Linked DNA regions of Saccharomyces cerevisiae S288C. The protein of the gene in region 1 interacts with the protein of each later gene in a pairwise test. Each region holds a gene or a part of one and is shown in the gene's direction. Other genes may lie near its edges.

Region 1 (4,529 bases):
GTATGGCTAAATCCTTTTTTTATCCCTCCAATTATTCCCTGGTTCTCTGGATTGCCATTCTTCGGGTTTTTTATTGTACCTGGATGCTTCTTGCATGTGGTACTTGAGGTAGGTTGAAGCTCCGGTTCTACCACCTCATATGAGCCTATCTCTTGGTCAACTGAAAGTAAACCGTTACCATCCAAATCTCTCCAAGTTGTTGTATTTTTGCTCAAATTTTCGAGCACTGTTGGTTCTTTGTTAATGTCCCAGCCATTTATACGGGTCCCCTTATCGATATTAAAGATCAAGTTTTCGTCCCACCATACTAATCCTAAAGAAGGCGTTTCTGATAGGAGAACATGTTTTGGAATGTACTTTCTTGCCAAGGAATAGATGCGAACTTCAGCTTCGTCACCCATTGACGATATTCCTAGTAATGAATTATATATATTACTACTATAAGCAGGCTTGAACTTCAATTTAGTGACTGGATAGCCCGTATTAATTGTTAGTTTGGGAAATGCCAGCGAGCCGCTATTGTTCAAGGACGTATTGGGGGCATGTAACGAGGGAGAGTTCCCGTAATTGAGGACTGTATTTTCGGCGGCATTGGCATTGTCGCCAACAAACCAGAGGCAGCATTTACCGTCTCTACCACCTGTAGCAATGTATTCTTGATTGGGATGCCAATTTAAACAAAGACCGGGTCCTGTGTGAGCATTTAATTTTTTTTCGTATTGGGCAGGTTGTCGAAGATCAAACTTTAGCAAGTATCCCGAATCGTGAATAGAAGCAAATTTGTAACCGCTTTTTAAATTACCATACGTTGATGAACCTTGATCGTTCTTAGATGCAAAATTGTAACCGGGCATCCATTTTACATCTCTGATTGAGTCAGATGCGGTATTTATACTAATGTCAGATCTATTTGAGCTTTTAGATTTATTGGAACGTAAATCCCATATTTTTACACAACTATCTTGTCCACCACTTATTATTAGGTTTGATTCGACCATGTTGAAGTCAAAACTATTGATAGATCTAGTGTGTTCGCATAAGGATGTTATCAAGGGATTGTCTATCGAGGAACTCTTATTGAGATCATATATCGATATCGCCGTAGAATTGTTGCACACTGCAATACAGTTCTTGTAATTATTAAATCCAGTCTTAACATCCGCAATGGTACTAAATTTGTTCTGTCTTGTTCTTTTGCTCAGCTTGGGCAAAAGGGATGTCGTTCCCCTTGTTGAGGTGTTGCTATTAGGTGTTATGAAATCATGAACGCATTTGATAGATCTATCTGAGGGCGAGAATTTATAGAGCCCCAAATGAGTTTTACCTGCACAAACAAGACCGTTAATGTTTGGATCATTCACTTTGTCTATACTAGATAATTCTTTATCCACTTTGGTGGTGTAAATGAGTCCAGACGACTTTCTTGTATTTGTGTTGATTGCATTTTTCTTTGTTTTGATTTTCATGTTCGATTTATTGCTCATGCTTCCGGTTGTTTTTGCGTAAGGATTCTTATCATATGGCAAATAACTATCGTTGAATGAACTAGTTCTGTGACTTTCAGGCATATAAACCCCATTACTGTAAGAAAAAGTTGGAGTTAGATTAGGTCGCCGTATAGAATCTAACACGGAAGGTTGTCCACTATTTGAGTAATGATTCATTCGAAAAGAAGAATTGTTGCTTGACGAAGATCCAAGAAACTCGCCCTTGCCTATAGAACTAACGTTTCTGTTTTTTGGTATCGGGGTACTCCCCTTGGGAATGGAAGCATTTTCTACGTGTGGTGATAAGCTCATGATTTTCAACTAAATCCACTCAATAGCTCACTCGCCTTCAGCCAGCAATCGCACCATATGTATTATCAATCGGTTTTCCTTTTTCAGTAATCATCGTTATATATCGATGTTTTTGACAAATTAAAAAGAACGTTCCGAGACAGAAAAATTTAAACTCTCCGATCATGCATAGCTAGACATTCAACAGTATTCTAAAATGCTATAGTAAGAAACCAAGAATAAGATCCTAGGGATTCATAGTATAATTTAATCCATATATAAGTTTTCAGCATGGATGCTTCCTCGGTTCCACCAAAGGTAGATGATTATGGAATGTATACAACTGAAATTTCACATCATAACCCAATAGAGTTGAAAAATCTGCTATCATCATCAGACTCCAGAAGAAATTCTCAAGATGAAGATAGTCTACCTAACAATACAAACTTAATCAAAGAAATTGACTGGCAGGGCGAGAAAGTTAAAACATATCCACTAAACTATCAAACTGTACCACTAGTAAAGCTGCAGGTGATAGCATGCTTGATTATGTTCGTAGTCTTTGGTATGAACGATCAAACAGTAGGTGCACTACTTCCTACGCTAATTGAATACTATCATATATCGCGGGTAGATGTCTCAAACGTATTTATAGTCCAATTATGTGGTTATGTGATGGCGTCTTTATCAAAAGAGAGATTGAATAAGCACTTTGGTATGAGAGGTGGTATGCTTCTAGCAGCTGGTTTGTGTATAGTATTTCTTATCATTTTAGCAACTGCACCTTCTAGTTTCTATGTTTGTATGTTTTGTGGCCTTCCTCTTGGTTTAGGGATCGGCATCTTAGATTCTACCGGTAATGTTTTAATGGGCAGTCTTTTAGTCCATAAGAATGAACTCATGGGTATCATGCATGGTCTTTACGGGGCAGCAGCTATGGTTACTCCTCCCTTAGTTTCATATTTTGTTGAATGGGGTCATTGGTCTCTTTTTTTCCTTATTCCTCTGTTCTTTTCTATAATAGGCATGATTGTAATCTTCCCAGCTTTTAAATTTGAAACTGCAAGTAAATACGACTACCTCTGCTCTGTGGAAAACAAAGAAAGCAACAATGATGTGGAAGAAGCGGGTGATAACTCGCTGATGGAATCTACCAAGGCGAGCCCAGGATTTTTTGAACTTTTAAGAAATCCTGCTATTTTCTTGTACTCATTGTATTTGTTCCTTTACTTAGGTGCTGAAATTACAACTGGTTCATGGTTCTTTAGTTATTTATTGGAAACTAAATCAAGTAATAAGGTTGCTATGTCATACATAGCGGCATCGTTTTGGACAGGTTTGACTGTAGGCAGGTTGTGTCTAGGATTTGTTACTGAAAGATTCTTCGAAAACGAGTATAAAGCAAGCAAAGCGTACGCTTTTTTAACTCTATCTTCATACACCTTATTTGTGCTTGTTGGGTTGATCAATTCAAGCTCAGTTTTCTATTTCGTCGTGTTATTTTTTGTTGTTTTTTGTTGTGGTACGTTTATCGGACCATTATTCCCAAACGCAAGTATAGTTGCATTACAAGTATTGCCCAAAAGACTACATGTGAGCGGGGTTGGGGTTGCCGTCGCCGTTGGTGGTTGTGGTGGTGCAGCCATTCCATATTTGGCTGGAGTTATTGCACACACAGTGGGAATCCAGTATATCCCACTATTGTGTTGGATTATGGTTGCGTTATTTACATTGGAATGGACATTGTATCCTAAATTCATAAAAGGGCATGAAGAATATTTTTAGTTTCAGAAACGCCATCGGTGCCAGTGCATTGCAACTAATTCCAAAATTAGAAAAATAAAGCTGTTGAATAATTGTAACAGAAAGATAGAAAGGCGGAAGATAAAAGGAACTTCAGACAACATATGGAACTTTTTGATATATAGTATACATAATGACACTCTTGGTCGTTTACAAATAGATAGAATTTTAAGGAAAAAGTAATACTATCTGAAGTCTATAAAGAGCTTTTGAAAGCTGCTTCAGTAGTGCAAAAAAAGTGTATAGTAGCCTTTTCAAGATAACATAATGTAACTAGCGGTACCAAGGAAACTGTAAAAGAATAGAAAAACATGCGAAAAGGTCGTAAAAATGGTCATTAAAAGGCGGGAGGTAGATGGAGTTCTGGAGAGGATCATAAATATAATAAAGGAGTACCGATATTCAACTCCCGTATGGTAAAGTATCAGTCAAGCAAATCCGTTGCTTTCAATTAGGCTCTGCAAATCATCAAAAAATTTATCATTAACAACAGAGTCTAGTGTAGTTAAAGTTTCCTCTGAGCTATTTCCAAAACTTTCAAAAAACAATTTAACAGCTTCGATGTATTCAAAACCAAACATCTGAGAATAGTGATTGATGAAATTTTCAATAACCATAATGGTGTCCCTAATTTGCTTGCCGCAGGTTGAAGGGTAATGACTTTGATTTAAAGAATGTGGCTCAACGACGCCCGCATTAATAACATTGAAGAAAAATAAGCTCGTATCGATTTCTTCATGTTGGCTGATATATCGATGGATTTGATTGAACTCATCAAGGGAGAAAGGTGTAAACTGCGAATAGTAATGTTTTAATCTCTTTGCAAAATCTTTGATGGCAAGTTCATAAGGTTTGTCTAAGTAGTCTTCATTAAACGATTTATTGTGGATATTGTATTTGATAAAGCTTCTGTTAAAACATGACACCTGTAAGATTATGGGCACCAAA
Region 2 (4,868 bases), on another chromosome or scaffold:
TTCCAATGCGCTTATACGGAACTCCAGTTCCTTTAGTCTATCACTTTGGGCGGCTGGTAACAATGGCGATGGCGATGTTTTGTTTTCAGGTGCAGTATCTCATATGCAATATGGTAATTTGAATGGGTCTGTACGTTTTTTGAACGAAAATGAAATAGAGCCACTTAACCTAGAAGGGGGTATTGTACCTTACCTGGGAGCTTATTTAAATGAGTCTGCCACGGCATATGCATATGAGGTGGATTCTCTAAACAAAATTTATTTTTCTAATGAAGTTTATCCTTCCTGGAATTGGTCTAGCGGTATTACTCAAATGCTATACGCTGATAATCAAACTTTACTAGCTGTCAGTGCAGGATCTTCAACCACAGCAGAACTGTCGATTTTTGATTTGAGAAATTTGACCATGATTGCTAATGAAACACTAGGATCAAATGCTAGAATAAATGCTTTAGTTAACTTTGAAAAAAACTGTAGTATGCTTGTCGGCGGAGATTTCCAAATGACTGAGCCGAATTGCACCGGATTATGTCTATACAATTATGAAAGCAAAACTTGGTCTACCTTCCTCAATAACACGATTTTTGGTGAAATCACACAACTTTCCTTCACCAACTCATCAGAATTAATTATCTCAGGCCTTTTTGAAACAAAAGAATACCAATCTATACGTTTAGGATCCTTTAACTTAACCAATTCTACTATGATTCCATTATTGAGTGGTTCTGAAGGGAAACTGAATTCGTTTACTGTCACTGAAGACTCCATAGTGGCATGGAATGATACTTCATTATTTATCTATAGAAACCAAGAATGGAATATTACCTCGTTACCTGGCAATGCTAGCTCTATTAGCTCTGTTTCAGCTATATACACAGATATTGAATCCAACACTTTGAACAAGAGAGGAATCAACAATGTTAATAATGGCAGTATCCTCTTACTTAATGGTAATTTTAATATTTCGCAATACGGATACCTACAAAGTTTGTTGTTTGATTTCCAAAAATGGACCCCATATTTTATTTCAGAAACAACAAATACTTCCAATTACAATCCAATAATTTTTATTAATAGAGACGTTTCAACTGAATTCAACTCTCAGTCACCACTTGCCAATGTGAACATTACTGTGACAAGTCCTCAGTCAACATCATCCCAGCCTCCATCTTCATCGGCAAGCAGTGAATCTAAATCAAAATCGAAGAAGAAGAAAATAGGTCGTGGTTTTGTCGTTTTAATTGGTCTTGCACTAGCATTAGGGACAGTTTCTGTCCTTGGTATTGCAGGCGTCATTCTTGCCTACGTGTTTAAGGATCCAGAGGGTGATTATAAGCCCATTAAACCGCGAATTGATGAGAATGAAATGCTTGATACCGTCCCACCCGAAAAACTTATGAAGTTTGTCTAATCGGGGTTGTATTATATAATATATAACTACTTAAAATAATGAACACTTAATATAATAAACAAAAATAAAATAGGAAAATCCTAAGTTGATCAAAACTTAATAAAAATTACTACTTGCACTGGAATGTTAGTAGTAAATTCAACACGTATTGGAAGTCACTTGGAATGTTACCAATACTGCCTGAGAATGAGTGATTTTAACTTATAATACAAAAGTCCGGGTTACAGCCCTTTAAATTTTTTTCACGGCAATTTTTCTTTACTTGGTGAAGCCATGAAAAATGTCATCGGTTCGAAGAAATAGGCCTAATGATAAACAAAAAGGTAATTCAAGGTTTTTGAACTGCTTTGTTGTTTTTATTTGTATCTTTTTTTGGTACGTTAGTTAAGTTAATTTTTGGCTCCTTGTCCAGCTTTTCCTTCATCTGCTACCGTTATATTTTCAGATATTAATTTAGTAGCAGAGAGCAAGTACCGAAAGGAAAACAAAACAGAATGATTTACAAAATGGCACACGTACAGCTTTTGTTGTTGTATTTTTTTGTGTCAACAGTCAAAGCCTTCTATTTACCAGGTGTAGCGCCTACCACTTACAGGGAAAATGACAACATCCCATTGCTCGTTAATCATTTAACTCCATCAATGAATTATCAACACAAAGATGAGGACGGTAATAACGTTTCTGGCGATAAAGAAAATTTCTTGTACTCATACGACTACTATTACAATAGATTCCATTTTTGTCAGCCTGAAAAAGTCGAAAAGCAACCTGAATCCTTGGGATCCGTTATATTTGGTGATCGAATTTATAATTCACCATTCCAATTGAATATGTTACAAGAAAAAGAGTGTGAATCCCTGTGTAAGACCGTAATTCCGGGAGATGATGCTAAATTCATCAATAAATTGATAAAAAATGGCTTCTTCCAAAACTGGCTTATTGATGGATTACCGGCTGCAAGAGAGGTTTATGATGGCAGAACTAAGACTAGTTTTTATGGTGCTGGCTTCAACCTTGGTTTTGTACAGGTAACTCAAGGAACCGACATTGAGGCTACTCCAAAAGGGGCAGAAACCACCGATAAGGATGTGGAATTGGAAACACGTAATGATCGTAACATGGTGAAAACTTACGAATTGCCTTACTTTGCCAACCATTTCGATATTATGATTGAATATCACGATCGTGGTGAAGGTAACTATCGTGTAGTTGGTGTTATCGTCGAACCGGTTTCCATAAAACGTTCCAGTCCAGGTACATGTGAAACGACTGGCAGCCCATTGATGCTAGACGAAGGAAATGATAATGAAGTTTATTTTACTTATTCCGTTAAATTCAATGAATCAGCGACTTCTTGGGCCACCAGGTGGGACAAATATTTACACGTATATGATCCTTCTATTCAATGGTTTTCTTTGATAAATTTCTCCTTAGTTGTTGTCTTATTGTCATCTGTTGTTATCCATTCGCTATTGCGCGCACTGAAAAGTGATTTCGCACGTTACAACGAGTTAAATTTGGACGATGATTTTCAAGAAGATTCGGGTTGGAAATTGAATCATGGTGATGTTTTTCGTTCGCCAAGTCAATCGCTAACCCTTTCAATTTTGGTTGGTTCAGGAGTTCAATTATTTTTGATGGTAACTTGCAGTATCTTCTTCGCTGCATTGGGTTTCCTATCACCTAGTTCTAGAGGTTCCTTAGCCACTGTTATGTTTATCTTATATGCATTATTCGGGTTTGTCGGCTCTTATACATCTATGGGCATCTACAAATTTTTCAATGGGCCATACTGGAAGGCAAACTTGATATTGACTCCACTTCTAGTTCCTGGTGCTATTCTGCTAATAATTATTGCGTTGAACTTTTTCTTAATGTTTGTTCATTCTTCTGGTGTCATACCAGCAAGTACTCTGTTTTTTATGGTTTTTCTATGGTTTTTGTTCTCAATCCCATTATCATTTGCTGGTTCATTGATTGCCAGGAAAAGATGTCACTGGGATGAACATCCAACCAAGACAAACCAAATCGCAAGACAAATACCCTTCCAGCCTTGGTATTTAAAGACTATACCAGCTACTTTGATTGCTGGTATCTTTCCATTTGGCTCCATCGCCGTTGAGTTGTATTTCATATACACAAGTTTATGGTTTAATAAGATTTTTTACATGTTTGGTTTCCTCTTTTTCTCTTTCCTCCTATTAACTTTGACAAGTTCACTCGTCACTATTTTGATCACTTATCATTCCTTATGCCTGGAGAACTGGAAGTGGCAATGGAGAGGATTCATAATTGGAGGCGCCGGTTGTGCTTTGTATGTGTTTATTCATTCTATTTTATTCACCAAATTTAAGTTGGGTGGATTCACGACTATTGTCTTATACGTGGGATACTCCTCAGTCATTTCATTACTCTGCTGTTTGGTAACGGGGTCAATTGGCTTTATCAGCAGTATGCTCTTTGTTAGAAAAATCTACTCATCCATTAAAGTTGACTAGGCCAACGAAAAAGAGGTCCTATATGTTGGGTTAGGGCGTTTTTTATTTATTTCTCTACTGTTTATCTTTTTTAACAAAGAAAATGCTAGGCCCTATGGCCTTTGGACATGATACATAGTTTTTAGTAATATTTTTTTCAAAAAGATTAAAAGTACTATAGGATTCGAAGTTGTAATTTTTGGTGTATATACATTTATTTATTTGAATCTTTTTTCCATGATTCTGGAATGACATTCTGCGTTACAGTTTGGGAATAAATGCTCCTTTAAGGAAATAATATACAGCTTTAGTGTACAGGGTTAATCTATAGCCACATTAAAAGGACTTGATTATGACTTAAAATAAGTGACACTGACGCTTTAATATTCAGTCCGGGTGATGCTGTCATCTAGGACAAAACAATGGGAGTGGATAAGTAAGCAAGTAATAAGATAAAACAGTATTAGAAATTGGTAGTAGGCTGAAGCTTGTTGAAGCTGGTGGACAGAAAAACGCTTATATTGTGAAGATCCTTTTGGATGTCCAACTTTAAGAATTTTACTTTAAATTCCTTTGAAGATTATTACGGAAAGCCCTCTGAAACGCCAAAAATGGAGGAAGAGAAATTGGAAGTAACAAATGTGAATGCGTCCTCTTCAAAAAAAGTACATAAAAGCAAAAAGAGCACTTCAAAATATGACCAAAAGAATGTATTTAGAAACTCAATGACAGGAATTGCACAAATACTGCCAACAAAACCTGTGAAAATTATAGAGCAGAATATTGATTTTGCCAATCCGAAGAGCTTCGACCTCCTGCAATCTACACATACTATTTGCTTTAATAAAAGAATTAACACTACTAATACCAAGTTGAATGTGGAAACTCATACTTCTAGTGATATTGACAACGACATATTGCACGTTGGAGCCCCCACAGACTTGGGGGGAAACAGTAATGACGAAGCGGAAACAAGGCAA

What was found.
Region 2: the proteins of BSC6 (region 1) and EMP70 interact in a protein complementation assay, tested with the Saccharomyces cerevisiae proteins (one large-scale study listed by BioGRID).

The regions. Positions count from the first base shown.
Region 1 is NC_001147.6:63,552-68,080, forward strand, and holds BSC6 (Bsc6p), read left to right. Parts: upstream 1-2,069; coding exon 2,070-3,563; downstream 3,564-4,529. Other genes in the region: RTC1 (Rtc1p), read right to left, coding at 1-1,799; PFK27 (6-phosphofructo-2-kinase), read right to left, coding at 4,010-4,529. UniProt on the Saccharomyces cerevisiae protein: Probable transporter.
Region 2 is NC_001144.5:293,132-297,999, reverse strand, and holds EMP70 (Emp70p), read left to right. Parts: upstream 1-1,905; coding exon 1,906-3,909; downstream 3,910-4,868. Other genes in the region: RAX2 (Rax2p), read left to right, coding at 1-1,411; SRL2 (Srl2p), read left to right, coding at 4,428-4,868. UniProt on the Saccharomyces cerevisiae protein: With TMN2 and TMN3, plays a critical role in the late stages of a nutrient-controlled pathway notably regulating FLO11 gene expression. Acts downstream of RAS2 and TOR. Essential for cell adhesion and filamentous growth.